2 linked regions of the Styela clava genome follow. The protein of the gene in region 1 purifies or fractionates together with the protein of each later gene. This does not show direct contact. Links are inferred from orthologs where the notes say so. Each region holds a gene or a part of one and is shown on either strand. Other genes may lie near its edges.

Region 1 (16,558 bases):
GAATAGAAACCGCGCGTCCTTCATCCAACTGTGCTGCAATATTAACATTTCCGAATGTTCGGTATTTTACTGCATTGTCCAGTTGCTCCATAGAAGATTGATGATCCCTGGCACGCTCGGAAAGATGTTTAAGATCTCTAAAACCAAATTTACACCAACGTAAGTCACGGGCGGTAGCAAAAAGTAGGCAATAAAAACAAAAAAGTGCATTTTTGTCCTCGCTGTAACCAATGACATTAAACATTGTTTAATGTCATTGCTGTAACACAACCATTCGTGTTTTTTATACCAAGTTTCTGCGCAGAATGTACGCCGACGCTTTTCTCCGTCATGGGATTGTTCCAGTGAACAATTTTTTGGTTGATAAGGCCCAAGACGTTGTACCTCTAATTTTTGTTCCAGCGGCAGCTGCGAAAACGGAGTGCGAAGTAGTGCATCAACCTTATTCATTATGAGGTCTAAGGCTAAGAAATGCGAAGCCGGAAAGAAGTGAGGAGCTCAAAAGGAGTGTGGAAAATCGAAAGCAAATGGACTAAAGGTCTCTAACTGATTCAAATAGCGAAACAAGCGACAAAAACGAAGGCGAGGAAACTATCAACTCTCCAAGCAACCAACGAACGAGAAGGAATGCGTGAATATGTCAAAACGTTGTTGTAAGAAACGTCGGCATTGTGTCGTCATAATTTCGGGGCTAGCCCCGATGATTTAGTAAAAGAAACAGAAAACAAACAAGACAAACGCGGCGAGTGGAAGATAAAAGAGAGAATACGATATACAATGAGCAACCGGGGCAAAATCGGCGTCGCCCCGTCGACGTTCAGCGAAGGCTTTGCGAGCGAAAAATGAACCATGTCGGGAGAATATGGCTAGTGTAGGTAGACAGTCTGTGCAACCGATATTGAGGTATTTTTCGAATATTTTTTATTATACCGAAAAAACAACCGAGGCATTGCCCCGGTTGGCCCTATTGACGCGCCGCCACTGGTCTGTAGTATAAATTCTAATTAATACGCTCTAAGCTAGAATCCGAGATGTAAAAACTCGAAAATACTTCGCCGAGGTCATTTTGTCTTTGTGACGTCACAATAGTCCTGCGTTACCAATGATAATTCATTATGACGAAACAATTGCACAAATGTGAATGTCATACTGAATCTCCATCTTTACGGGTTTCGGAATTCTTAAAATATAATCTGAGTTAACAGACAGGTGCGCAGCATTACATAAATACCTATTTTATAAAAATCTCAAAATCGCCAAAAATGACTTACACAATTCGGTTATTAGCGTGACGAAATGTATATTGTTCTGTCGATGTCCAGTTCTCAATCCGAATTTGCCCAAATTAATAGAACTAACAAACTAATGTTCTGCAACGGAATTTGATGAAGCAAACTGTCTAACTCTTAAGTTATCACGTCTAATGGAGGAGATGCGATTTAATGTCTTTGGTAATGGGCGATCGTATCTTGATGGCTTTATTGGACTGATACAATTCGGGTTTTCTATTCGTTGTTCTCAATTTAATTCCGGTAATTCAGGAACATGTCGGTAGGGTGGTGATATATTGAATACGAGCAGATTGTTCAGGTTCCTTTATTGCTTGGTCGGTATTGCTAGGTTGAGAGCAACACTTACTTTCGCAAAAGCGTGGGCCGTGAATTACGAGCCACACTAAAATTGAAAGAATAGTCGCTAAAATGTTCACCACGGCTAGGATAATCAGTGTATTAACGAAAATAGTACACTGCTCTTCTTCCACAAAGCTAGTCTCTTCGAGAAATAGCACGAATGATAAGAAAAATAATAAAAGTAATACCCAAGAAAACAATCGTCCCACCAAGTCCGAGAACCCAAAAAGTCGTTGAGAAAATCATATCCTGCTTGCAATCGGGATTTTTCATCAAAGTTAAGTTGACAAAAATATTGTCATATTGTGTCAGTAGAATTGATGGGTAAGTAGAGTCCTTCAAAGTTTTTATGAAGCATTCGCCGTCATGTATTGAACAGAATCCAAAATATGCGCTCCGGAAGTATTCGTACCAAGATGACGCACAGTCTGAACCACCCTAACCTGGTACACATACTATGTTCAGGTTGTGCGCCATCTTGGTACGAATACTTCAGGAGCACCCCAAAATATAAGTCAATTGTCGTCACCCACGTTCTAACAAATTTGTAACGAAGCGGGGTTTTCACGGCGATCGACAGCACTATAAAGGACCGCTAAAATACGATTGAACTGCCTTTGGAATACTGGCAATAATAATTAGCTAGTATGTTGCACCGGTATACAGCATAAGTATTCAAAAATATTAACACCGCTCCAGCGTTCACTTCTGTATCGCAAGTGTTCTGATACAAGTAAACTCAGATCAAATCATACCGCACATGTGCAGTGTGAGTGAAGCAATATATACGAAGTGAATACACCAGCAATTGAAAATACGTTATTTTTACATAATAACGTAACAAACCTACAACGTAAAAGCGGCTGTAAAAAAATCAACTTTTGGATGTGTTTTTGTGATAATAAATCAACTTTGGCGATTGCAATTAAGCAATACATCTGAGGATCGAGTTTACAGAAAGGTCGGCGTCTGATCTATACGGAATAAAGATTGTTCTTGTTTAAAAAAACAAAATTTTGGTTAAACATCGGTCCCATAGTGCTCAGAGAAAGTTTGAAAAATAAAATAAAAGTAATATTTACAGAAGTTATTGAGAATTTCATAACAAGAGAAAAAAAATTAAAATGATGATCAACAACAACAAAAATAACAAAACAATCCATAGGCCCATTTCGTGTTCGATAACAGCGTAAATATATAATACTACGGAATCTATCCCACGCGAAAACATTTCATATGGTCCGTGAGTTGCGGAGAAAATAACACCAGCTTCGTTCTATGACTATGTACCAGTGTTTGTCTGCGCTTCAGTTACTTAGGCAGGTTTCAACTGAAGTTTCGCATATATCAACTATGCAAAAATATTATTTTGTTTATACTTTAATTATTGATTAATTGTGTAAATGGGGTCGCGACCCTTGCTGAAGATTCAAGACCAAGGGCCACTTAATATTAAATAAATAAATACGGTATTATAAATCTTCAAAACCTCTGCGATCGGTTAAAAATATACGGTATTGAAGCGAAGGTGATCCAATACATTGCTGCAGTGAGTGCAAGTCTAATGCCGTGATGAAGTTGCTCTCGATACCAGTATTGAATACGGTGATTTGAGTTTAGAATATTTTTTAATTCTTTTTTGAAAACACAAACTGTTTTAATTCTTTTTTGAAAACATAACCTACAGACACAGACAGACAAGACCTAGTTTTAATATAAATACTGAAATAACTCAATACCGGTATTGTATACCTGTAGTAAAAGCGCCTAACTTCGGACAAAATTACTATATTTTCGTCAATAACTCGGCCATTTATTGTCCAAACGGTGCCAAAATTGCTCGGTAAAACATTCGTGCGGTAATTTACATTCCCTGCAAATTTCGGTTCAATTGGACTATTTTTACTATTGAAATAATCGATATTTCTTGCCATCTGACCGTTATCCTTCACTGCCCTAACTTCGGACAGTCATTTTCTTCACTGCGTAACCGCGACGCACAGAGAGAAAGAGGCTTCCGATGCGGATGCCGTAATCACGTCGTTGCGTGAAGATAAGACGCTCGTCGTCGTAACGTAACATTGGCGTCACGACGAAAATGCATTATTTGAAACTTCCGTCGTCCTATGTTTACATCTTTTGTTCGTTATTTTCGATACTTCAGATGAGTATAATAACACGTTAGTCATTTTAATCAGGAAATGCATACGTAAATATATCTGATGCAAACCGTTTCAATCCACAATGAAGTATTTTAACGGGCTTCTATCGAAGTCTTTGAAGTATTAATATTCTCGACGGATAGCTTTTTTTTATTCTGCGCGGTTATCTTTATAAATGATAATTTATATCAAACACACGGTAAATCCGATTGTAAAGTTTAATTTAAAATTCAACTTAATCTTGTAAACATGTAGGTCCCGTTTATTTGTTGGAGATTAAATTTATTTTTAATTTCGAGTGAATAAAATTCACCCAGGCCGTATTTAATAACTGTCATTTCGACTACTAATCATAAAATAATGGTTAAGTCAGTGCACTGTGCCATATGGACGTTGGAATTATCATAGTTCATTATATATTCGATATTTAACGTCATCGATTAAGTGTGACATGTATTTTCATTAATGTAATTTTGGCATATATTCATACATGACCGAACAAAATACAAAAATATTAGATTGAAACGCCGTCTTTATCTTAACGGAAATTGTCATATTGGCTCCGTTGTGTCTGGCGTCAAAATTCATTTCCGCGACGCAGTGTGACGTCGTGTCGGAAGTGAGCGAAAAATAATCTACGTGAGGTTGACGTAATTTTTGACGCTGCGTGAAATCTTAATATTCTTACGGAATTTATAATTCAGAATTTTAGATTTAATTTAAATCTCGTACGACATCTTGCGATCACTCAAATAAATTATATACATTGTTGTCGCCGTCTACCGAATGATGGTATTTTGATGACGATAGCTTCAGTTGGAGCGACGCTCTGCGCCGTTGAATGCCGGGCAGTCAATTTTCGGCAAAATTCCCGTTTTTTTACCAAAAAAATAATTATGCAACATTAAAAAAGATGAGAATAGATGTAGATATAACAGCGCAACCTATAATAATTAAAATTAGCAATATACGGCGCGTTTTAGCCAAGATATGGCCGTTCAAAAATTTTGTCCGAAGTTAGGAACTGTCCGAAGTTAGGCGCTTTTACGGTACCGTATCTCTCCACCCGCGGCTGCAGACCCGACTCCTGGACTCTTGTTTTAGATTCACCTTATCCAGTTATCCTCTTTATGTCGGCTACAAATTCAAAAGTTTTTATAGTGTTTCAAAAACTGTATTCTGGTAGAATAGTAGTCTAATGTATTCTGGGAATTGCAATATTATAGCTGTTGGAAAAAGTACAAAAGAATGTAAAACAAGTATATCAAAAATGCATATACAATACAATTTTATTTCGATTTTTTGTCTACACAACACATAACGCACACAAAAAAAACAATACACAGAAATGGCGAAAGAGACCGGGAAAATGGCCAATATGTTGATATGTTTGCAAATAAAATGCAGGGATTGTCAATAATGCAGTATCACAATGTCAAAAAGAGTATAAATTAGGGCCGTACGCTAGTACGGTACAGCAGTGAGATAGACTATAGCTAGGCATTGTTACCAAATCTGCATTTCAAGAACTGGAATAACTTTTAAAAAGCTCAATCATCTCTGACAGTACCGGTATGACTCATTTCAATATTTTAAACCTTTGTAAGCTTTGTTGAATTTAATTCAGTACGGTAATTGTTAATTGTATTTTCCCTACGAACAGAAGAATGAATATTTAAGTTGTTCATTTAGTCTTGTTGGGATCTTTTACATAATGCAGTAATGGAGATGTTCAGGAATTGCATATTTGTGGATTTCTCTATTGTCTATTCTGGCTGATAAGCTATCGTGTTACTGCTATACTGTGGAAAGATGGAGAAGTCAATACCAAACACACTTGCAATATTTCGATGCGATGCTGCACCAGTTACTGAATTTGACAATTCTGACTTGTTAGAACATAACAGTGAAACAGTATCTGGATCATCTCTGAGCTCTTCCTCATCAAAAGTAAAAAGTCAGTATGTTCCAATTATAAGGCAATCATTGTTGATTAGCTCACTTCTTGAACAATTATGCTCACTGTATGAAACTGATAAAGTGAAATCACAAAAACTTTATTTTATTCTGTGTGATCAACTCGCAAATTTGGGGATTATATCTCCCGTTGCATATTTGGAAGAATTTACGTCGGTGCATACTCAATATAAAAAAACACTGTACAACATTATACAATCATCTATCATGAAGCTAGATTCAAAGCCAGCATTTCCAGCCAACTGTGATATTACAAAACTGCTTGATCCTGGAGGACTGATGGATTGCAAACCCATCATTCCTGACCAAACAAAAGTTTTCGACTTTGATACTTCAAGGTATGGTCAAGAATTTGACGAATTGGGTAAACTGGGTTCTGGTGGTTACGGCAGTGTTTACCGTGCGCGAAGCAAGATTGATGGACAAGAGTATGCTATCAAAAAAATAGTTTTGCGCGATTCACTAGTTGGCGAGAGTGATAAAATACTGCTTAGAGAAGTGCGTATACTGGCTGGCTTGCGTCACAAAAACATTGTTCGTTATCATGGTGCTTGGATTGAGCATATTGATGTTGGAGAAGAGGTGAGAGTTCGGGGACGAAGAGATTTATTTGAGGATGTGAATAACTTACAGTGCTCAAATAATGGTTCATCTCATGATGATTCTTACTCATTTGGTGATAATGATTCAAAACCTTTTCAAAGCTTTTCCAAAAATGGTTTGAAAAAGAATAAGAAAAATAGATCTAAAATCCAATTGTCCAAGTTTTGGGGTGGCAGCAGTGCATCTGAAACAAGTGCGAGTGTTCAAAACAAAAAGATTCATTTCTCTATTTCTCCTCCTCAGTCTGATGAGGATCTTGTGTTCCAAGACTCCAAGCCTCGTCGTATTGATACGAGTTACAATGACAGATCATCAGCGGCGAATCCCGAGTCACCTCCCAAGGAAACTATCTTGACTCATGGCGTTCGAAGAGATATGAATATGCACAGAGTGAAAAGTTTTATTATTACCAAAGACTTGCCTTCTGCAGCTAATCGTGGAGATTTCACTAAACCTGTACGTACTCAGTCTTTGAGCACTTTTCAGGATCGTTTATCTACAAATTCATTAGATTTGGATTGTGTGGCAATAGGGAAAAAATCTAAAAGTTTCGTTCATTCTAATTTAAGGAAGGGAAAGCTGGTGCTTAACATTCAAATGGAACTTTGTCAGACATCTTTGAAACGCTGGCTTTCATTGAGGAATAAGAATATTTTTCATAGGAATGAAAGCTTTCATGAAGGCACATCTTTACATTGCATGAGACAAATAGTATCTGCGCTCAACTTTATTCATTCCAAAGATTTGATTCATCGAGATGTTAAACCCCACAATATATTTCTAAATTTAACTGGATATGGCAAACCTCATTTATTACTTGGAGACTTCGGTCTCGCCAAAAACAATTTTGCAAGTCCAGTTGATTCCACTGTTTTAAATCATAGTAGTCAAAATACTTTTTATATGGGTTTGCGTCGTACTGACAGTCACACTTCGGGCGTTGGTACAACATCGTATGCTGCACCAGAGCAACTTTTTGCAGATGTGTATGATGCAAAAGTTGATATGTACAGTTTCGCTATTGTTGCTTATGAATTGTGGACACCGTTTGAAACTGCAATGGAAAGAGCAAGCCATCTCAAACAATTGCGTAATCAAATTGTTCCAAGTGAATTTATTCTTAAATATCCACAGCTGGGTAAATTGTTGACTTCCTTACTGAATCATGATCCTAAAATGAGACCAAGCTCTCAAGAAATTTTTGAAGGAGACTTTTTTGAAAAATCGAAGGATAAAATCATTGACCAACAGGCTGAACGAATACACATACTTGAAACTGAAATAAGAGATTTGAAAGTTATGAACAAAAAACTTCAGAGACAGTTGAATAACAGACGTTCACCTCCATAGTGATTACTATTATATAATGATTTGTGAATATTACTGTATAATAGTAATAAAAACTATATTCTTGCCTTTCCTCCATTTAAAGAGAAATCTATAAAATATTATGTTCCTTCAGTATTCATGGTAGAATAGTAAGTAAAGTTATATAATCAGTTTTAGACTTCTTGCTTCTTAATTGTATAGGTACTTAGATATATGTTTTACTATGGAGGTGTTTTCATCCTCACCAGTCACCAGGTATATTTTTTGTGATACCTATTTTATCGAGGTGCTTCTTTCTGCTTGAGGAAAAGGTCCTATGTTACTGATGAATGTAACTTGGAAATCAAAATTATCATTAGTCTGTTTAAACGTTAATTGAAACGATTAATAAGGATAAAAGTTCAGTCCAGTCCAGTGATACATATAATGTTTTGGAATAGTTCATTACCTGTATGTCAGATCATCACTTATGTTAATATATTTTTGCATTGAAGAGATTCAACCCGATTATCGTCCACTGCCTTCTTTAATGCCCATGTTTAGATAATTTAATCAAATCAGTAGTTTTTGAAGTATAATTTTAAAATGCCTTACATGATCGTAATGTTTTCTGATGCATGTGCATTTGCAGAGATAGTAGCTGATTATTTTTTGAATATCTAAATATTATGTTTTTTTAATATCACTGTGATATGAGTGGTTCTGACAATTTATCAATATCCAAGACTTATTCGTTTACTTTGTTTTTATATTAGTTTGTGGGTTTTGTTTAAGTCAATTTGCCTTGTTTGAGAATGTGATCAAATTGGTGGGTTCAAGGAAATTGTTTTCATGGATATGGTGCAAACTTGAAGGTACCGTAATAGCTTTCCAGTTATAGCATGATGTAGTAATTGTTGTATCGCCCACATTTTTATAATATGTGAATGAAGGAATTCAAAGTGTGATATATTTCTCTTTGTTCATCTATTGAACACTACTCAATAACAGCATGGTTCCCAAGTTTTTTGTTTCATAATATATTGTAAAGAAGAACTCAGTACCTCGAATTACTATAAAATTGCAAAAATTTTGTTATATTTTTAATTTTTATGCAAGATGTATGTATGTTATCAGTCTAAACCAGATTGTTGTCATGCCGGGGATTTCTGATATCAAAGTTGGTTCTTGGATCAAGTGAAGAATATAGGACCTTGTAGATTGTAACTACCAACGTAAGAATTTTTTTTTTTTGGTGCTTCGATTTGGTTTGAATTTGCTTTCTTCTAGATTTACAAACGGGAAAGTTAATTTAAACTCTTCAATCAGGTAAATAGGAGAATCGTATAAGATTTTATGAATTCATATTTTTTTATCTCTTTTTCAGTTGGGAGAATTCGGTAGAAAGCCAACACAGAAATAATGTCTGCCGTGCAACAGTTTGTTCAAGGTCTAAAAAGCAGAAATGAGGAAACAAGACTCAACACTGCTCTATCACTTCAGCATTACATCAACACTGGTAGGTGGTTGGTGTTAGGATATCTAATATTATCTCATTTTATTGCCTCACTTCACAAAGATAAAATATATTCACTACTTGGTATTATGTGGTTGTTCAAACGTGTATCTTGGAATTTCAAACAATACTATCTAAATTACTCAGAAAAGCATTCAATATGCTATTGAATTAGAAGTATTATAATTTTTAGACGTTTGAATATACGACATATATTTGGAGTAACTTTTGATTTTGTTCTGTTTATTATTGCGTTTCCTTGCCTCTGAAACTTCTTATATTGGTTGTATATATTAATTTCTTCTTTATCTATTCAATTTGGCCCATTTTACAGCTGCGAAAACTTGTTTATTGTTTCATAAGTTTTAAGAAATTCACTAGACTCTTAGTCATTGGAAGCACAACCTGAATCCTGATCTTATTCAACATAATTTTGAATACCAAACTTTATGCTTAGTATATCACTTTTAGATTTATTTGACAACTCCGTGGTTTCCTACATTGGAGATCTGTAATTATTCTGATTCTTAAAGCTTGTGATTTGAAAATACGACTATTATTCTGAAACCTGTAAAAAACACAAATTTTAAGTCTTCAGCTATATCTACATGTTACTGTATATTTTTCTTGATGGAAAACCGACTCTTTCATTCTTGTAGAAGTACGAGAGTTGGCGAATGAACAGGCTGCAAAGTTTATGAATGAATTGAATCATCAAATATTTGAAATGATGTCAAGTTCTGATAACAATGAAAAGAAAGGAGGAATACTAGCTATAGGTAACTTTACGTGGATATATCATAGAAGTAGTAGATTTTAACTGTTTTAATTTTTTTAACTTTTCAATCAAAACTGAAATACTATAAGAAACAATAATGGCACAACAACAGTCCTTAATATTAAATTGATTGTTACTTGTACAGTAGTAGACTATTTCACCAAATATTTTCTCTCGTAATTTTTTTGCTTTCCAAGATATTTTTTGCTGATTTGAATTTGATTTTCTCTAAATGTTCATAAGCGATGTATTTTGTTACTTGATAACTGTCTTAAACATACTATTTTTTTATTTCTGTGTTGCTCTCAGTGAGTCAAATTGGAGTGGAAGACGGAACCCATTTTCCACTTTACAGAGCTGCAAATTATTTAAGAAATTTATTTCCATCCAGTGATGTCGGTAAGCGAATCTCTTACTATAATGAGATAAATATTACTAAAATTCAATTGTTTTTTAAAAAATTTCTTAAGATAACTTTCATGATGAACACTATATGATAGTATGCAAAATAATAACAAAAAAGCTATTTTGCCATATTGTTTGCCATATGAGTTTCCACTGCAAAGGTCTTTTATCAAGCAAATTCTTGGTTTGTGAAATGTAATATATCTGGAATTGGTATATAACCAATCTTATTGCTTATCTTTGTGTATATTCAATTTATTTATCATACAAAATTATAGTCTAAAATTTACAGTCTCAGAGTGATCATTTTATTAATAAAATAACTTGAAAATATACATTTTTGTACTCATACTCTACAAAATATTTTTTATATCATATATTTCATATTGAATACCGACATTTATTTTGCTTAATAATTATGGCGGACCGCACAGTTAACCCAGTGATTACTATTAACTACCGGTAACTTTTTTTAGGTTCATACCACTTCTGCCTATTTTTTTTAAAAAAGTTTTCATCTAATATAAATTTTAATGCAGCCTGATATTAATATTGCATTTGTAAATCAAGAAAAAAAAAACGAAAACCAAAAAATTCAAGTGAAAATATAAATGTGTTAATGAATAATTCTTTCATTATCAGTCGTTATGGAAATGGCTGCACAAGCACTTGGACGGTTGGCTGCAGCAGGTGGCAACCACAGAACTGAATATATTGAATTTCAAGTACGTCGAGCTATCGAATGGATTGGGGCACCAAGGAATGAAGGACGAAGACACAGCGCAGTAAGTGGAAGCTAATGTAATAAAAATATCACATTGCAGTTGTTGTAAGCCTTATTCAAGAGCCTAGTAGACCCAGTATGATGAAATGCATAAGTCTACTTTGCTTAGTAGTTATTGAATGATGTACCTTCATACTTACACTTCTTGAATTTGAATTTTCAAATGAAAATAGCAATATGCCAATCAATTTTGAACACAACAAAAGTCAGATCAACTTCATATCTTCCATATCTGTCCATCAATTTGATTAGGTATACCTTGTCCTCAACTTATTAAACTGGAAACACGATTCAAACTCTTGCATTAATATTCACCATGGTTTCAGTTTCAGAAGCAACAGCGTCATGACATTGCTAAAAACCCAAAACCATGCGTGGAAAACTCAAATCGTTGTATCTAAAATGCACTTTGTTTAGGACCCAATTTAGAGTTTTCATAACTGTTGCATCTTGTATGGAAGTAAACCCTATGACTTTAATATATTTTGGGCGTTCTGGAACAGACTCATTCCGCTTGTTTCCGAAAACATGGATTTATTTCTTATTAATAAAGGAAAATCATAGTTCATAGAAATCCTGCAATGTCAGCTATGCTTCATCGAAATTTCTGCGATTGCTTTCATTAAAACTTATGTCAGTCTTGTTATCAAATATGTTCAATCTGATATCTCCAAATAATATCTTCTTCATACAACAATGTTTTGAATTAGTTATATAATTAATTAAGATATTGCATTGGAAATTGTTTGAAACCTTTGTGTGACAATTTTATTTCTATAATGTTGAAACATAAAACAATGAAAGCTCACAAATTATGAATATTTCATTATTCAGAGTGACCATCAGACCATACCATATGTATTAACAACATTACTGATCATTAAATACAGTTTGAAGAAATTCTTATTTTGGTCATGTCTTGGATTTATGATATTCATCCATAAGTCCTTTTATACTCGCGTCAAGTTCAGAATATTCTGATTTTATTCTGTTCACTTGAACATTAGCTGCCCATGATGATCCAATAGATCGAATAAATATTGCTGCATTTGTACAAATTTGCATTTCAACTAACGATAACACATCTTGAGTGTCATCTTCCAGCAGAGAACACATGCTTTCTGGTGCATTACGCTCTCCGTGATAATAGTTTTTTTTCCACACCTTTATTATATCTTCACCCGAATATACCGGGATTTCCTCTTTGTATTCATATATTTTTAAGTTTGATCTATATTCATTTGCTTGTCCTTGTTTTGAAAGGGGTGACGATATATATATCCCACTTAGTTTGAGGGATTTCTTGGTCTTTGCAATTTTTTCCAACATTTTATTGATGATATTTCGTAGCGTATTCATATCAACATCATCTCCTGAGGTTCCGTCATTACCTGAAATTGAATAAACCTTTAGCTGGGATAGATGACATTGTCGTGGTATTTTTATTGTTTCAGGCATTGACATTAAAACTTATTATTAGATATAAACAACTGGTATATTATATTAATAAAACATTTTAAATATATATGCATTAGACCTAGTGATATCTTGTTATAAAAAAAATTATTTGGTCATCAAGGTAGAAGCCGTAGAACATCATCAAAATTGAATATGCTTATCTCCCAAATATTTATATCAGAATAGTGGAGCACGATGTAAAAATTTTGTTTTGGAATATTCAAAATGTTAAAGCCAAATCTGTGAAAATGCAGTATTTGAACTCAAAGCCATATTCATTATTAGGCGCTCCAGAAATATGTGTACCAATAGGTAGGTAACTCTTTTTGTTTGCCTATTTTACATCAAGTGTAAAGGGACTGAAAGCTATGGGCTATAAGGGTATATTCACTTGGCTAACACAGACAGTCCTTGAACTCGTAATAGAACTAAAACAAGGAAAATAGGAATAAAATTATGCCCTAACCCTAACCTGGTACACATACTATGGGAGTACCCATTATTGTGATATCTCCATTTTCATTCATCTTACCTGTTGAATGCTTGTGGTAGTTCAGGCACATATAATTGTATATCCCTCCACCTATTTCTTGTGCATTCATTAAATCTTCCGTTATCTCAGTTGCAAGGGAATGCACAAATGCAGGGGGTTGAGTATAGTACCAGATTGCTGAATATACAACTTCATCCTAAATAATCACAAAAAATTTAAAAGTACCGTACTTTTAAGCCCAATTTTGTCACAATCTATTCGTTAGTTTGATTCATACAAAAGTTTCATAGAATCAAGGTCGTTTGGAACATATTCTAGACCAGGGGTTCCCAAGCTTTTTCCAGGACGACCCCAAAGACAACTTTCAAGTGTCCAGTGCGACCCCTGGTCAATATATATATTTTTTATGAAACTTTAGAGCTTCTTTCACTGGACTTTTGAGTTTGGTCATGTGGTGGTATTAAGTAAAATAAGCTAAAACCAAACAGTGATGTCACAATAAATACCTACATTTTCTATAGCATAAGCATAGAGCGATGCCAATGGGCCTGTTTTACAGTAAGCCATGGTACAAACTGCAAAATTTAACATGGTTTGTCAAATCTTAGATGTTTTTTACATCCATCCTCTATCATACCTCAGCGACCCCTGTGACCTGTTTGCGACCCTACCTACTTATCACTTCGACCCAATTTGGGGTCGCGACCCATGGTTTGGGAACCCCTGTTCTAGACTCTAGAGAGAACATGACTTTTGTGCAAAATGTTTTAGATTACTGAAACTTAGTTACAATCATACACGAACAGAGGTCCAAGTGAATTTACTTCATTTTCATAAAAGCCATTAAGAAATTTATGAGTTTAGTTTTTTGAGTCACCCTGTATATTATATGAAGTCAACCTTGGATCTTTTTATAACGACCAATAGTTATATTGGTTATAATTTATATGGCGGCTACAAAATAATAAAGTTTTACCTTCATTTTGAAAATATTCATTTTATGATTTGGTAACTTCAATGTTTTCCGAAGAAATAACTGAACATCAAATAATGATAGAGGAAATGGATGAACTGCACACTTGTATCTGTCAGTCTCTCTGAAAAAGAAATATTTTTTTTATTAACTATTGGACTGCTAATCTCTTGAGTACTTGAATAATATACCAAAATATAGAATAAAGTTAACATTATAAGCATACTTTGGATATGTATCTGCCAAATCTCTAGGTATGATGCTGATTCTATCTCCTTTCTTTAAACCTTTCGGATAAGTTGGAATGCTGAATTTTACTCTGAAAAAAAGAAAAAATTTCAAATGGTTTCAAGTAAAAACTTGTTTGTGTCTGCTATGTAATATCAACAATCTTCTATAATATTTGTTATTACCTTGCCTGGTCAATATCATACGATGAAACCAACCTGAGTACATATAGGTATTTTTGTGACGATATATTATCCTTGTTTCACAATTGGTTTGAACAGAGGCACGGTATTTTAAAATATCTATTAAGTTGTGAATAAGCAATCAACGATTCGACCAATATTAATTGTATGTATAAGATAGCATTATTAGCATTAGTACTGTAACCAGTTTTTTAAGATTTGCCTCATTTTTTTGAGCTTCTCAGTTCTCAAGTTACACTTGGACAATCAAAATTCATAACATATTCAATAATACATACTTGAAATCTGTCTCTACAGACGTGTTGAGTGTATTGAGCATTGTCATTTGAACTTCTGATTGTGCTTTAAGCAGAGTTGCCACTCCAGGAGAGACGTCGGTGTGACCTTTTATATAAATGATATATTTTAGAAGTACTTTTGATTGACACCTTGATTGCTTTGGCAGTGCATGACATGAAGTTTGACTTTGATTGTAATCTGATTCCTCATTATTTTCAATAATGCACTATCAGGAATGTCAAAACTGATTTACTATTGTTTCTTGTACCTTTTATAATTCATTATTTGGTAATCCTATACTAAAGATAGGCGTTCCAACCCAAACTAAACCAAACTCACATCTTGGACATCAGAGCTAAATTATTTTATAGGATTCAATAAAACAAACCATATAATGCATGAAATAGTTTTTTGATTCCATTTTAGACTGGTCCATACCGAAAAAAATTTGAAACAGATCTCATTGACAATTGACAAATTGATTTAGAATTTTCAGTAATTTCTCGTTATTACAATGTTTGTCGTGTATTTTTTTGTGGCCCAATAACCAAAACATGCTAGTCATACTATACTATGCACAAAAAACCTAATCTTAACCATTTAATAATGAGTCTTTTTGAATCTTCTTATTTTTTACCTTTATTCAACTCCGAAAGACTTATAGTCACAAGTAAGAGCAATCAATAAACAAATCTCTTGAGTTAGTCATTGGACATGAACTCACTAAACCCAGTCAGTGGAAAATTGAATAGTGGCCCAGTTTTTAAGATTTAATAATAAAAGCACTTGGTCCAGTAGTTCAAAAGCAGAATTTTTTGTCACATACCGGTAAATACCAAGATATACACCTCAACAACTATTTCTCGAAACACAATCCATACGTCATCTTTATATGCAACAAAATATGATGTTTAGGTTCTAAACTAGTTTTATGAGAGTTCCAGCAGACTAAATTGGATTGGTGAAAAATAGAACCTAATAATTACAGCCTTACTATATGATATAAAGTTGATGATGTACCTGTCAATAATGCCACGTCAAATTTTCCATCACATTTTCTCTGTAATTCATCCACAGATATAACAGAAACAAATCTTCTGAGTATTTCAATGTTTAATTTCAATGATGCTGGAAGGTTTGGGTTGTATTGTGATACTCCGCCATAATTGTGATTATGAAAATATGGAATAGCCAGAGTCCTAGGCAGAATTGAGACAAGTGATAAATTATATGAAAAATAAACTTTAGGATTTCTTTGTTTCTATGGAACATGTATATACATCAGAAATCTGAATAGTTCAATAATATAATTTTGCCTTACAAATAGTTTCTTTTTGAGTGTTTCAAAATGACTCTATTTTATTGCAAAATTATGATCTATACTAGTCATTCTCATCCAATACGCCCCTTTCCAAAGACAGTCAAAACTTGTGCCTCTTGAGCCGTATTTAATAGCCTAATAAACAAGCCAAGAAATGGAAGTAAAAGAATAAATTCATTACAGTCGAAGAATCGCAGTCAGTTTACTTCAAATTAATTTAGTAATCACAAATTATATCTTGTGAAGGTCTTCAATTGTGAGGGGACAAGACCCCAGTTTTAGAAACTCTGATCTATAGCCTACTGTATTTTATTTTATGAAATTTAAGAACTAATGAAAGAACATATTCAACTACAATTCAACTAGTATATCAGATGTGTATTTTCATTAATTCTCAATTAATATTAATCAAAGTTGGCCAACAGACTGTAAATTGAAT
Region 2 (16,095 bases), on another chromosome or scaffold:
AATACATGGAAATAATTTCGTCTTGTCGAAGTTATTGCAAATCATTCCCTTCACTCCCACAGCTCTCTCATGGGACTTCAATTTTCAACCGTGTCGTGGAGTACTTTATACAGCATGACAAGGATTTCGAAACTTCAAAAATATTCCCATTTTATATGCGTGGTTTGGCTTTGAGATTTACATATATATATATACGTACAGTATACACCATGTTTCTCCGAAAACAAGACCTACCCTGAAGTTAAGACCCAGCCTGAATTTCACGGATGATTTTAATATAAGACCTAGTGGTCAATAGCGCGAATTTTTTTTTTACCTAGTCGATAGCAAGAAATCTCCTCCACACGTTTCAAATGATTAATCTCAAACGTGTGAAACAGGAAAACGTATCATTTAAGATAAGTAAATGGATATCGGTTTTCGTATTCCTCATATTTGAAAATTCGTAATTCTCTACTTTGTAGTTTTGTTTTTGATGAATGAAAATAAAAAACATCCTCCGAAAATAAGCCCTAGTGTTATTTTTTCGAAAGAAAATTGAAATAAGACAATCATTGTCTTATTTCCGGGGAAACACGGTATATATATATCGGCATCGGTCATTTTTTTGCTATCGGTATCGGGTAGACCGAGATTTTCGATATATTCTGCCCTCTGGTCTGATCCAACATGTTTTAAGGAATATATTAGTATACGAATGCTGATAACTGAAATCATTTTTTTGCGGTGAAGCATGTTCGCGTTCCACCCTCGCGACTAGAAACGGGTATAATGACGTCACGATATCAGGTACCACGAGATTTTATTACTTTTCAATGTTTATAAATTCCTTCGATTATATTCTCTTATAAATAAAATTTATAGTTTAAGCAGATTTAAAGGAAATATACACAACGCTGATTATGGCGGCCTAATGTATTCAAAAACGTGTATACGTAAATGTAATGTAATTGAAAATGAAATATATTTATAAAAACGCCACAGTGGATTTTCCGCGTTGTACCATATACTAAATTTTTACACTGAAATTATTAAGTAGAAATGCACTTGATTGTTGGATGTTTTGTACAAATCCCTACCAAAAATACGGTACTCCTGAAGTATGCACACCAAGATGTCGCATAACCTGAACTGAACATCCTGAGTTCAGGATGTACGCCATCTTGGTGCGCATACTTCAGGAGGTCCAAAAATACTCCCCGACAACGCTTAAAATAACAAAATTAATATTTATCCAGTCAGAGTTAGGAATACATATTGCAATTGAAATTTTTGCATCGTTCCTACCCTTACCGGGATAATACCTAGGTTTTTTTATTTTAAAAGTGGCGTGGGTGTTTTCCTCAAATCTCACATTTTTGCATTAGTGACGGGAGCTTTGTACAAAAGTTTCCATGTTTCAAGCTATTTATCATCCAAACTATATCAATTGATTTGTCTATTTTCGATACCAAAATTGTGTTATTTACATTTTGAACAATAGCAATAGGTAATTAATAATTATGAAGGAAAATAACGATCAAATGTCACAGAGAATTTTCTCGTTGCCTGAAATACAAAACAGAATCGTATTGATACAAAATCCAGCGTACGCCACTATATGTATTGGTTTCATAGTAGGGGTAAACATTTATTCGTTATACCAGTTATAGTGGACAACCAGCTATGATCTTTTTATCAACCGAAACACGATATTCCCAGCGCCCGTGGACAACAAACGTCTGCAGAACGTATGGGCATTTTAATAAACCATCAGTGGTGATTCCATATTTATTTATGCATCTGAATCAGAAATATCGATTTTTCATGCTCTGAAATATATATCTAATATCTTTCCAAGTTCACACTCAGGAAGATTGTATATACGTCGATGATAATTACATATTATCTAGGCTTACCATAAATCTGAAACAAAAAACCGGGACGGTGCGATTTGGCAAACATTCGGTTGATTGCCAGTCTTTGTAATATTGAAACGTCTCCCATGCCATTGCGGCTGTAAATCTCTATACTGATTATTGAATTAGAAAAAACACAAAAAAATAGTTTGTATTATTTATTTAGACCAAAAGTATTTGTTCGCAGATGGAACCCTTCTCAAAAATTCTTGTTTTGATTTTGTCATAAAACTGATAACAAGAGACATCACCATTAAATTTGCAGGTTACGAGTGCTTTTATATTTTCTTCTGGCATTCTGAACCTGCTTCCAGACCAGAAATCTGTTCAACAGATGCCGATGTTCCGGCAAACAAAATCAACGAGTTTCTGCAAATTCGAAATGCTAATATTTCTGTTAGAAAAAACGTTAAACATCTCTGTCCACTTAAATTCAACCGCAAAGTAAGACAAATTGCATTTGAACCATGCTCAGATAAATATCTCTATATCAGTATTCGTCGAAAAGGGCATCTCTATTCAAAACCAGACTAGCTAACCGAACATATCATTTATTAATTTTGCATACCAAACACTTTAGTCCAGTTTAAATCACCCTTCGAATTTGTTCATATGTGGGGCCTGGGGAGCATTGTAGGCTTCATCATGCAGCCATATATACCGCAAACATTCTTTTTAAATACAGTTACGTCGATTTCGCCAGAGCGTTCCAAGGATTCCAGAAGTACAAGTGAATGCGACGGAATTAAAAGACCCCACCCTTTTTCCTTCAAATTTAGCTTCACCTCTGACATCTACGGTAGGGGTCGGCAACCTTTTGTCGCTCGTGGGACAAAATTAAGGGTTGCGAGTCATTGGCGGGCCGTACATATTTTTAGAAAGCTGAAACCGAACGGATGATACTTTTTATAATAAAAATCAAGCAGTAATACATCTTTCGAATAGAATATAGATTTATTTCCTCCTTGCATCGCAAAAAATTGCATTTGAATATTTTCAGCGCCGTTGAACCCTTTGAACTTCGCATCATTTTTCTGCGTTTTGTTGCCATTTGCCTAATTATAATTAAATTATAGGCTCATTAAACGAGTAGTGGTGTATTATATACTTGTTAGGTTATAATATAATTTAGTTTAAAAAATATAATCGTCAAAACGGCTGTTTTGTTACTTTAATTTAGTGAAGCGTCACGAGCCGGATTATAATATTCTGCGGGCCGGATCCGGCCCTGGAACCGTAAGTTGCCGACCCCTGATCTACGGCATTAGTATTATCTTTTTTCAAAATTAAAATAATTTTGTTGAAGTAGGTGAGCTGGCAAAGGATAATTTTCAAGTGAAGTTCGTACGCTGGAACATTCAAGCATAAGAGTAGGACATCCTTTTTGAGAATTTGAATAACTTATCAAGCTTTCAAACAGTTCCGTAATTCTTTGCAAAGCAGGTAATAAAGGGAAAACCCGAGTGTTGCCATGCTGTAATAGCCGTTGATTCTCACTATCAACAAAATTGCAGAATGATTTCTCCTCTGTTACTCGGACAGTGTAAATGTAATAATATTTATATATACATTTTGACAACAACACAAACAGGCAAAGTATCTACGACATGTTGAAAATGGCATCGCAGTGCACTGTTGAACTACATGGTACGCACAATCTATACCGGTTATATTTCTTTTAATTTGAAAAAAAAGCATTATTTGTTTTTCGTCTTTTTACGCCTCCAAAGTTGATGTTGCAATTATCCACACAGAATCCAACAACTTTTCCGAGAAAAGAGAGCAAGTATTCAGTAAAAGTTTTGGCGGTTTCCCTGGGTAAAGATTTGAATTCTAATAGTTTTATCTTCACACCAACATCAGGTAAAAAAATAACGAACCACAACTGGAACAAGCTTTAAATTCTTTCTGTTTGATGCATCGAAGGTTACTGATACGAAACTGGTTTAAAGTAAATCATCATTAGGTTCAGAGGAGAACAGCGGAACAATTCAATTAAAAATCATCGACTATCATTTATTTCTGGTTAAACGTGCAAAATCAGCAAATCCGCTTATCAGACAGCGGACATCAGAAATTCTAACTGTGTATATTTACAAGTTAATGCAAATTTAGGCTAAAAAAAATTGAAATCAATTCAGAGGTGCAGTCAAAACTTTGTGTGATAGGCAAATGTCGGCTGCCAACGACAAAGAATCATCCGAATTTGTTATCGCAAAAAATTGGTCAGTCGAGTCGATGCCTCAATTAATGTTTTGGGCTTCCTGCTTTGGATATGATCGTTGACATCAGAACGACCGTCTTGACTAATAGAAAAACAGATCTGCAATGCGTACAGTGTACCTTCCCTCCTTCCGTTTGCGCAAAATCTCCTTTCAACTCATTAGAAAATTTGTACTTCTTTTATGGCATTTCGACAACTTAACGGCATTGTAGTTAACGCCAGAAAACGCATTAAAACATATACCGATTGTGACATAACAATAGAGCATTTTTTACTCTCTGAACTAGCGAAGTGTGTCGCAAAACAGTGGTAAATGGGCTGCCACCGTTAAAAAAAATTGTAACAATAAGGAATATGAATTTTTCACCCATGACAGCCGTGCTGACAAACCGGGACATTTGAGTCAACCGGCCGGGACAGCTCGTCAAAACCGGGACGTATGGTAAGCCTAATATTATCGGCAATCTGAAATATCGGCGTTTTGTTGGTATCGACGAAAATAGTGATAACGGTACATATTCAGTTTGGACTCATATATTTGATTCGATATTTGATTAATTAATTTAAAAGAATTAATTTGATAAGTGTCTAGATTGGTTGGGGACACCCGTCGCCCGATGACTGCTTTCGATAAGTCGACCAGGGCGAACAACATTTGTGACAGCTTCGATTGGTGCTTATTTACAGCTTAGCCTTAAGAGTGATGCACCAATTTCAAAAATAATTTTATTCACAGACGTATATTCAAGTACTAATATGCAAACAAATATATCAAAAATGACTGAATCAACCATCTTTTCATCTCCCTAAATTACACAAAAAAATGAAAAATTGACAACAAAACAACAAGCTTTGTAAAATTAGCTGGGGCAACAAAAAATAAGCAGCAATAGAGTAATAGATTATATAAATGTATTAATGAGGATTGTCACAAATGCTGAAATATATTGGTTTTGAATGAGACAATGCCCGAGAAGTACCTACTTATTTTATATATCCGGTCTTCTCCTGTGAAGATGATTTGTATCAGTTAATAAAACAACATAGAAAACTATACATAATAAAGTTGTGTGAAGAAACATTGTGTAAATTGCTGTCGCAAAAATATTTAAAAAAAATATGCTACTTACAGCCTTCTACCTGGATTATAAAATGTACTGAATGAATTAGGATTGAATATTTCCTTGCCAATGAATTTTGTTCCGCTCAAAAATAGATACTATTGCAAAGTGAATTTATAATAATGATATAAAAAGTATACTGATGAAAAGGGTGGATTGTATGCAAAGCATAGTGCAAATGATGATGGAGTTTTAACATATACTTCGGAGCAAATATCTCAACTAATATTTAGAGAATTATCAATATTTTTTATGGTCCAAAGTCTCTGTTCAAAATTAAGAAGATATTCCCCCGTGCTATATAGTCAGATAATTCCAACCAAAATCCCCAAAACAACTACATATATACATTTTTAATCAGATGCTATTCTAGAACTTTTCCAAATAAATTTTTTCTCCAAAGGAAGATATGTTTGTACTCAATATTTTGATAGTTTTAAAGCTTGAATTGTTTCACGTATCACCAGTCATAATCGCAATAAAATCTTCCAGGTTAATTTCGCCGTCACCATCAGTATCAAATTCATCAATCATGGCTCTCAATTCATCATCTGTCATATTTTCACCAAGTTCTCTAGCAACTCTACGTAGATTTCTTAATGATATTTTACCACTGTCATCATCGTCAAAGAGTTTAAAAGCTTTTGTCAACTCTTCCTGGGGATCTCTTTCAAGAATTAAGTCTGTCATGACATCATTGTAATCATCAAAACTGATTTTTCCAGTTTCTTCTCTGTCATTTTCTCGCAAAATTTTCAAGACGTCAGCTTTTTTTACTTCAAACCCTAATGCTCTCATTGCGACCTTGAGTTCGTGATAATCTATAAATTTATCCTTGTCTGTGTCAAATAATTCGAAAGCCTCTTTAATTTCTTGTTTCTGTTCCTCTGAAATCTCCCTCCGCTTTTTTCGTTTGGATTTTTCCAGTCCAAAATCTCCACGTAGAGACAAACTCATCTTGAAATTATTTTTTTAATATTAATTCTATAAAAGGCAATTATGAAGAAAAAAAAATGATTAGATTTTTTTTGTCAGGAACATAAATTCAGAACAGGCAGCATTGGATAAAACAGAGATAAGTGATTGCTGTTTTTATTTGTTTAATTACTATATATGGTAAATACGAGTACTGCCTTGACATATAATACATTTTTTTGTAACCATATTTTATATCTACTAATGGTAACTTAAAACACAATAATAGGCTAATCAAATGTCTTCTAGTAGTAAAAAACTCAAAAGTCTAATAAAACACAATATTGGCATTAAAATGGCACAAAAGTCTAGCATTAAATATTTTTTTAAATTTTTTAACAGTATTTTCAATGAATCAAAATATAAACAGTTCTGCAGTTCATAAATAGATGACTCAGAAGTTCATGTTCTTTTCCACATACAGACATAATACACACAAATCATTTCCTGCGAGATTTCTTATTCGTGACTTTGTTTATATTGGTAATATATCTCACATTAACTTGTGATTGAAAGTTTTCATATAGTTTGTCAGCCTATTGTTGTGAATATTTTTACATGAACTAATCCTGGGGCAACCCTAAAATGCGGGAAACGGGAAATGCACTAAAATGCGGGAACTGCGGGAACGACGGGAAATTGCAAAAACTAAAATGCGGGAACTACGGGAAATTTCACTAAAAAGCGGGAAATTTCACAAAAAGCGGGAATGACGGGAAATCGCTTTAAGGTACGGGAAATATTCATGCAGAAAAAATAAACTATCACTAGCCATAGAATTACAGTAGTTTCATGTTTTCCTTCTTTTATATTTGTACTACCGTACATGTATTATGTTTTCTAAAAAATCTAATAGGATTACGGTACCGGTACTCTATACAAGGACAAAAGCTATGCAAGCATGTATGGCCAGGAAAGTCTAATCCCAGAACAGCAGAAGTTGTCGTCCAATGCTGTATTCAACAAATGCAATATCAATATTGTTGTGAGAATCAATAATAATTACATATAGTCTACATACCTTTTCTATTCCAAACTCAGCGCTAGAATTGCAAAGTATTATAAAAGTTCAAACGGAACCGACAAAACAAAAACACAATCAAGTCAAAACTGACGGTTAGTGGCGGTGTTCAAATTCACAAGGTGGCAGCATTGAGCAAAAATATTCGTGAAAGCTTTGTCATGATATTCAGTTAACCATGCTAACTATATTCAGTTAACCATGGTGCGGCGTTCATTGTATGTGTGTATGTTAATTTGTCTCACTGTTTAACAGCGTCTGTATAATAAATAAACATAAAGATGTCAGATGTGTTGTGACATTCTCATATTCTCGGCGTATAAAGTCATTAGTAAAGCTATAAAATCACAAGTATTGTCAAATCTAATTTGTCTCAATATGGATGTCGTTCTTTTACAAAATTACGTACGATTATGATGATATGTGATTAATATCATTGCAGTCTTGGATTTCTATTCAGATCCCAGCGATTCATATGAAAATCCTATCCATTCAATAATTACACATATGCTATCGACCAAAACTTGCAATGAAACTGATATTACAGAATTCAAAATACAGATTTAGAAGTTAAGATTGATTATTTTGCAGACCTCTCCTTTTTTGTATCTGTGCAGCTGTGGCTTTGCAGCTTTTGTAGGGCTGAAGCCAAAATTGTTATACCGAATGTCTACATTCTTCCATTCCTTTACTAGAGTTTTATAGTAAATTGATCAGCTTGGTTGAAGACTATGTTGGGTCGAGGGATTGAAAAGGATGAAGAAAAAGAGGGGGAGACTGTAGATGAGGATGCTGAGATTCTTCATAATATGATGGAAGCAGGATGGAATTTACCTCTGGCATTTCAACAAAAAAGACACTTGGAAAGCATCACAAGTTCAAAGCCAGTCACACAAACATGGAGAATGAAAGAAAGGGTAATTGTTTAATTTTGTTGATAGAGGTGCGTTTTATTATATGATGTTTTGTAGGTGTTTCTGTTGTATATTATAACTGTCAATTTTGTTCATTATTATTTAATGATAATTGTATTATTTCATCCAATGTTGCATTTTTGTGAAACATGTATGCATATCTATTCATGTAGATCGAATGTTGAAATGTATATTCAAATTAAATTAAGCATTGTATCAAAATTTGTGTTTTCTTATATAAAACCCTTCAGCGGAATATTTACTTAGTATGGAAGATATTCACTCAATTGTGATGTTACTGGAATAATATTATTATTTGAATAGTTGAGAATTGGTTTTATAGAAATTCTATTAAATGCAACTATTACTTTAAATATAAATATTAATTTGCTATGTATTAATGTTCTTTCAACTAATTCCTTTAACAATAACTGAGTTATTATTATTCACATTATAAACATATAAATAAAAATTTCAAATAAAACAGTACACATTTTTCATTACAAGTATAAACACTCTAATACAGCGGTTCTCGGCCGGGGGCCCATGGCCCTGTAAATTGGCCACAGAGCAGGGCGCAAAACTGATTTTACTTTTCCCTTGACAAGAAAACTTCCTGTTGTTCCTAGTTTCATTGCTTGGAAATGTTATTTCACATGGTAGATTCATTTTGTTGAACATGAATTGTTTGAACATAATGGGATTTGGAATCTACCCATCAAAGTAACACTATAAATACCACTGGAATGATAAACAGGGGGCCATGAGTGCTGAAAGCTTTCGGAAGGGGGCCACGAGCCATCAAAGGTTGGGAAACACTGCTCTATTGCAATCATTGTATAATATGGGCATGCATTTTTTTAGCAAGGGATTGATTGGTGATTTTATCTCAGTACTATATTCAATAGTAGCACATTTTATATTTTTAGATGAAGACTGTCAGCGTTGCACTTGTTCTATGTTTAAATGTTGGTGTCGATCCTCCAGATGTTGTGAAAACAACACCTTGTGCCAGACAAGAATGTTGGATAGGTTTGTTTAATTAAAATACTTTGTTTATTGTAATAAAGGACTTGAATTATATATAATTTGTTTCTTTTATTATAGATCCATCTAACTACACACCTCAAAAAGCATTGGAAGCAATCGGAAATAATTTGCAAAAGCAGTATGAAAGATGGCAATCAAGAGTATGATGTTTGAATATTATACTTTGAAAACTTAAAATATTAATAAATAGGTTGACCAAATCTCAGACTGAGATCAATGATCAGTGTTGGATGAGATTTACTTGCCATTCAGACAGACCCAGGAACTCTATTAATAGGATAGTTGACATTCTGTTAGTATTTTAGTCTCTGTATCTGCATTCATTTTACTACAGGGTTTCTCAAATAGGGCTCTCGGCCCCCCAACGAGTGGTTCTCTCGGGCCACAAGCAGGGCCTAAATAGATTGACTGTGATTTTACTATAATGCATTTACTTTCTTTTGTTGAATTTTTTAATATTAAACATGGAACATAAAATAACTGATCAAAATGTAACTTCAAAATTTGGTATTTTTATAGAGATGCAGGGGGCCATGGATTGTGAAAGTTTAAGAATTACTGTTTTAATACACCCCCCTGTCTTATCATTTTGTATAGAGTTTTAATGTATTGATATATATTTCGCTGACCAGATTGTAACATAAAAATTATAAGTCACCTATGGTAAGACAATATATATTCATTCACTTAGTATATTACAAAACAGTTATGTATTTATTATTTTGTAGGCTCGTTACAAACAAACTCTAGATCCGACAGTTGAAGATGTCAAAAGATTATGTACTTCATTGCGAAGAAATTCTAAAGAAGAAAGAGTTTTATTTCATTATAATGGCCATGGCGTTCCGAAGCCAACTGTTAATGGTGAAATTTGGGTATTCAACAAGGTACTTCTTTTTCCTAATACATGTTTAGCATTATCATAGCAAAAAGAATTAATTAATAATTGTATATTATTTTTAGACATATACTCAATATATTCCGCTATCAATTTATGATCTTCAAACATGGATGGGAACGCCATCAATATTTGTCTATGATTGTTCAAATTCTGGTGTTATTGTCAACTCTTTCAAAATGTTTGCAAAACAAAGGGAGAAAGACATGCAGGTATGAATTCTATATAGTATTGCCAATCATTGAAAAACGACTCTCGACTTTTATTCAACAAATTTGAATCCCATCTCCTGACTTTAGATTGGGGGGCATCTTGACTACCTAATCGTTCCTTCCTCAACGCTATTTTCTTTAACCCTTTTTTTCCGCTGTATACAATCGACTTTATGTACCATTTTATAATATGTAATGACCAGTTAACCAAACGTACAAGGAACACCCCCAATATCTCTTTAAAAAGCTTATTTTCGCGTCTTCCTACTAAAACGCGCCCAAATGACGTAGGCGAAACCGTTCGACCCTACGCGTGTAAGAAGAGAGAAATTTCAAAAAATTTTGAGAGAACGTTTCACACTCTTATCGCTTCGATGAACACGTGTTACAAAGAAACGAAATTCCAAGCGCTCTTCTGAAAGAGAGTTACGTCACCTTTGCAGAAAAACCAGACTCAGCTTCGCAAGCGAAGCGAAACGCGAAATAATCAATGTTATGTGAGAGCATGTCCACGATAGTTGTCTGGAATCTTTGTTTGTTTATTATGTGCGCGAAATTGTTTCCCGCTTGTTCAAATGACTTATTTTTGAAGTAATGACAAATACTTTCGTGTATCTCTAAGCTTTGAAATACCTACACAAAAAAAATTCACTTAGTAGTAAAATAAAAAATTTACAAAAAAACAAAATGTTGACAGATCAAGCACGGATCATAGTTGGATGCTCAAAATGATTTAGTTAGTGCGGAATACTTCACAAAACATGAACATAAACGTAAAATAGTCCGAAAATAATTATTATGACCAAGGATGGTAGTACGAATATATATGTCATACGGAACAAAAGAGTTAATGGTCTCTTAAGAATGCATAATATACCTAACTTTTTTAGTTTCCATCTGAAATTCTTGCTATTGAATTAGAAGTCGCAATTTTGAAGAATCTGTAATTTTAGCAACAGCATACTCAAGTCCCAAAGTCTAACTCCCTGATTCGGACGACTCAGTTCTGCCTAGTTCCTAACTCGATTATTCCAGCACTGATAACAATAAAAATTTCTTTCAACAGATCAATGGTATTCATCCAATCGGGCCAAGCATGTCTGATGCTAAAAACTGCATCCAGCTTGCTGCTTGTTCAGAATCTCAACTCTTGCCAATGAATCCAGAACTTCCTGCTGACCTTTTTACTTCCTGCTTGACTACTCCAATCAAAATTGCACTTCAGTGGTTTTGCCTTCAGAAACATGGCTCCCTGGTGCCCTCAGTAACTCTGTCATTGATTGAGAAGTATGTATTTATTAGAATTACAGCTTTTTATTATTGGACGAATGTGAAAAAGAGATTCGAAAGTCAGAATTTTTTAATATACATTCTCTATCGAGTAAAATAGGGACAGAGTGGAACAAGTGGAAAATCTCTAAAATATCTTGCCGAAGTATTGTACACTTTCTCGAACAAGTTGATTTCACGCTCCTTTATTAAAAAAAAAATAGTGTCCAAATCTTTTGTGTGCAATATCTATAATAGGTCTTCGTTACAAGTAAAAAAAAAAAAAAAACTTTCATTTGTTTTCAAGGATTCCAGGAAGACTGAATGACAGAAGAACTCCACTTGGTGAATTGAATTGGATATTTACAGCCATTACTGATACTATTGCATGGAACACTTTGCCAAGAGGTAAATACAGACAACCCTGGTGATATGTAGCAGGCCTAGTTTTTCTATTTGCCTCCATGATATGATCTTATGCTTATCTTAGCTAGTTATTTTTGAGGTGAAGCGCGAGACTTGACAAATTCTAAAAAGGACGACCTAAAAAGTTTGAGAACCACAGTTCTTAAGTATACAAAAGTATTGCTGCACACTGAAAATAATGTATTTCTGTAATGTTTTTGGCCGTTCGAAGCCAGACATTGTCAGACAAACATTTGCACACTTATGATTGTATGTAGCAAGACTCTATTTCATCATATAAAGTCTTGAGACTTATCGTAAAAATTCTGTTTTATATGACCTATCCATATTCATAGTAGAATAAAATTGAATCAAACTCATTTTTCCAGATTTGTTCCAAAAATTATTTCGTCAAGACCTACTCGTTGCTAGTTTGTTTCGCAATTTCCTACTCGCTGAGAGGATCATGCGTTCATATCACTGCACTCCAGTTTCCCATCCACCTCTGCCCCCTACATTTCGACATCCTATGTGGGCAGCATGGGACCATGCTGTGGATATTTGCCTCTCTCAATTGCCCGCTATGCTTGAGGAAGCCAGTAACTACCAGTTTCAGGTTTGCTATACATTGAAATCATGAAATTTATGCATTTTCATATGAATATATAGTGTTCTTGAGACTGGAAAAAGATGGTACAAAAAGTTATTTATACGCTTTCTGTTTTAATTAATATTATGATTTTGTATTCTGTTGATTCCACTCTTTTAAATATGTGGAATTATTTTGGTAGTCTAACTACTTTATCTTAGATGTAGTTTACTATGAGTAAGTTTGTTACCAAGAAGTCATTCATACAGTAATAATATGGTAAGTTTCACCCAGGCTTTAGAAATGAGACCTACTGTAAGTCTGATATTTTTATAACCACAAATAAATAAATGAAAGTTTTGTATTTTCAGCATAGTCCATTTTTCGCCCAGCATCTGACAGCATTTCAAGTATGGCTGAGGTTGGGAGTTGAAGAGCGCGAACCTCCGGAACAACTGCCTATTGTTCTTCAGGTTTGTTTTAACCCCTTTTGTTTGAATAAAGGATATTATTGTTATTTGTATAAGGAAACACTAACTTTTATTATTTATTGTGCGATACTTCAGTTCTCCCTGTAGGTCAAAAATGAAATTTTCTATTGCTCGTGGAAAATAAAACGATGAAGGGTAATATTGAATAAATTTATTATCATTCTTAATTGAATTAAGGTTGGAGATGTAAATGAAATACCATTATGTATTTTATTTTTTTATTTTATTTTTTTACCATTATTTATTTTTACAATACTTCATTGCACTTTGTTTATTAATTTCTTGACTTGTGAAATGTAGGATATGCCTTAGGACGATTAATGCCAAGAAGGCCAGTTAGGGCATGGTAATAGCTATTAGCTACTGAATTTAATTGTTTCTTATATATTTGACATAGACATGGCAGATAAGAATACAATATAAAACAAACTGGCACAGTTACACCAATATTTTTTCCATTGACTTCAACTACTATACTTAAAGACGTATTGCTATTTTTCTTATTTGAAATAACTGCATTATTTATTCCTAGGTTCTTCTTAGTCAAGTTCACAGATTGCGAGCACTTGAACTTCTTGGTAGTTTCCTTGATCTTGGACCATGGGCTGTCAGCTTGGCATTATCAGTTGGAATTTTTCCATATGTATTGAAGCTTCTGCAAAGTTTGGCGAAAGAACTACGACCTCTGCTCGTTTTTATCTGGGCAAAAATTTTAGCTGTTGATTGTGTGAGTAACTTCATAGTATTCATGATCTATCGCCAGAATGAAAATGTATAAATGTTGCGATTCAGTTTTTATATCTGTGAAGTTTCACAAATCTACGTTTAACAAGACTCAAGACAATCCAATACCACCTAGCCAATTTGTTATGTTCAACTACCAGTTTTTGCTTTGTTATATAAGGTTCGAAAGTTGTTTTCTCTGTTGTATTATTTTCGTAATAACGTAAATCTTTCGTAATCTTTTAAATCTTGCTTAGAAGTTTATTGTTGGAGAATTACCCTGAAACATTTATAAACAAGCTATTGTTCTTGTTCACCACTGTTGATTCTTTTAGGGTGCATTTCTCTGTCAATAAAAAGTCCTAATTTTTTTTTCAAGGCCTGTCAAGCTGATCTAGTCAAAGATGGCGGTCATCATTATTTCTTGAGAGTTTTACAAGATCCTCATATGTCATCAGAACATCGGACGATGGCCACGTTTGTGCTTACTGAAATAATGAGAGACTATCCTGCAGGACAGGAAGCCTGTCTTCAAGCAAACATTGTTGCAACGTGTCTCGACCAATTTGATGACACTTACGCTGGTCCTACTACATGGCAATTAAGACAATGGGTGGCAATATGCTTAGGTATGTTATTACTAAATAAGCCAATTATAAATCAAAAAATATTGTGCAGATTGACTTATATTTCATTTAATTTTACAATAGGTCATGTATGGACCAACTATGATGCTGCGAGATGGAGAGGAGTTAGAGAAAGTGCGCATGAGAAATTATATGAATTGTTAGATGATCCTTATCCAGAGGTAAATGCTACTTTACTTATATAATCAAGTTGTGTTAAATAACAGGTCGACCCCAACGGGTTAATTTTATTTCCTAGTAAATTTTATTGCTTATTTTGGATTTGGTATTGAAGTGTTGCTCGATAGTGATTGGATGGTATCGCAGCGTAGAAACTTGGGAGCTTTTTCCTTGCTCGAGTAAAGCCACACCACAATTTCAAAAAATCACTAATGGCAATAATAATATTGAAATAAATGTTATGTAAATATGATTCTTTATATTTTATAATCAAATTTTTGAATTTTGCGGCCATGAAAACACTAAACGCTGTTTGGTATTTGAGCATATCCTCAGGTCACATGATAAATTCACAAAATTTGGATCGCTTGAAAAAAAGGTTGGGAACCAATGATCTAGCTCACAGTAATACTAAGATACTACTAATACATATATCACAATTTCTGTTCTAATGTTCAGGTCCGAGCTGCTGCAGTATTTGCACTTGGTACTTTCGTAGACAATCAACCAGAAGCTGGTAGTGATCATGCCACGCATATTGATCATAGTGTTGGTAATGCCCTCATCCCTGTGCGACAAGTTGATGGAAGTCCTCTTGTTCGTAGAGAACTTGCTGCTGCGTTACAAAGATTCGTTTCTTGTTATGATAGTAGTTTCTGTGCCGTAGCTTGTAGATTTCTGGAAGAAGAAAGGAATCTAGATGCATTGGGTATGTTGTTGTACCCAAATTACTTTCTTTTTCAATTACTGTACCAATTTTGTGAATGATGACACCTTCAAAATTGAAAAGTGCGCGCACACCTTGTGGCAGTTCCACGACCGTTGCAATATAGTGGTCAGTCGTAGTCGGAAAAGTACTGTAATGGTATCTGTATGTACTGTGAAAGATTAGATATCCGTACTACTTCAGATATCCGCACTACTTCATGTCCGACTGTCCATATATTTGAGCATTGTTCTCTCGTTCATTTTATAATTCGCTTTCTGAAAATAGTCACTTTTTTATAATGTTGAGAGTTAGCGCTGGATTTGAAATTTCATATTCTCAGTAGTCTGAATTTTAGACTTCTAATGGTGGTATTTAACAGAAACGAAAAAAGCACTTGTTTTCTTGGCATTATCAACAGGCGAATTAGGAGATTGCATACTACAAATATTTGATTTTCTCCGAATTGAAAGAGCAGAAATCATTTATTATAAATGGCTAAGAATTTGGCATCACAGCCCCATCAAAATCGGACCACTAAAAAAAATTAACTCTTGTTTGAGTTATTTTGGAGTGCAAACCCCATGTCTACTCACCCAAAGTGTAATAAATCGAATATACAATGCAGAATGTTCAGAGTGAAGACATAAGAACATTATTTGAAAAAAAAAAAAAAAATATATATATATACATTTGACATATTCATTGCAATTTTCCAGCTGACCATCATAAAAGATCGGCTTCAGTACAAATGCCATTCGGACCATTACATGGAAAATCTGGAAGAAAACTG

The links.
Region 2: the proteins of serine/threonine-protein kinase mTOR-like (region 1) and regulatory-associated protein of mTOR-like purify together in Drosophila melanogaster (affinity purification with western blotting; 3 studies listed by BioGRID, with this or other methods). This does not show direct contact. The link is inferred for Styela clava from reciprocal best matches to the Drosophila melanogaster genes mTor and raptor.

What each region holds. Positions count from the first base shown.
Region 1 is NC_135254.1:21,271,679-21,288,236, forward strand, and holds the start of serine/threonine-protein kinase mTOR-like, read left to right. Parts: upstream 1-8,790; 5' UTR 8,791-8,916; intron 8,917-9,068; 5' UTR 9,069-9,103; coding exon 9,104-9,200; intron 9,201-9,856; coding exon 9,857-9,976; intron 9,977-10,284; coding exon 10,285-10,374; intron 10,375-11,022; coding exon 11,023-11,165; intron 11,166-11,650; exon of another isoform or gene 11,651-12,076; coding exon of another isoform or gene 12,077-12,555; intron 12,556-13,154; coding exon of another isoform or gene 13,155-13,311; intron 13,312-14,091; coding exon of another isoform or gene 14,092-14,212; intron 14,213-14,314; coding exon of another isoform or gene 14,315-14,407; intron 14,408-14,797; coding exon of another isoform or gene 14,798-14,903; intron 14,904-15,818; coding exon of another isoform or gene 15,819-15,997; intron 15,998-16,558. Other genes in the region: eukaryotic translation initiation factor 2-alpha kinase 1-like, read left to right, coding at 5,606-7,723; uncharacterized protein LOC120344269, read right to left, coding at 12,077-12,555, 13,155-13,311, 14,092-14,212, 14,315-14,407, 14,798-14,903, 15,819-15,997. UniProt on the Drosophila melanogaster protein: Promotes cell and tissue growth, maintains tissue homeostatis and controls responses to environmental stress and aging. Regulates growth during animal development by coupling growth factor signaling to nutrient availability. Central regulators of autophagy.
Region 2 is NC_135263.1:8,822,685-8,838,779, forward strand, and holds the start of regulatory-associated protein of mTOR-like, read left to right. Parts: upstream 1-7,821; 5' UTR 7,822-7,970; coding exon 7,971-8,156; intron 8,157-9,082; coding exon 9,083-9,185; intron 9,186-9,260; coding exon 9,261-9,343; intron 9,344-9,931; coding exon 9,932-10,090; intron 10,091-10,166; coding exon 10,167-10,313; intron 10,314-11,379; coding exon 11,380-11,600; intron 11,601-11,889; coding exon 11,890-11,990; intron 11,991-12,376; coding exon 12,377-12,603; intron 12,604-12,947; coding exon 12,948-13,049; intron 13,050-13,599; coding exon 13,600-13,794; intron 13,795-14,169; coding exon 14,170-14,419; intron 14,420-14,500; coding exon 14,501-14,598; intron 14,599-15,055; coding exon 15,056-15,305; intron 15,306-16,021; coding exon 16,022-16,095. Other genes in the region: centrin-3-like, read right to left, coding at 5,697-6,200.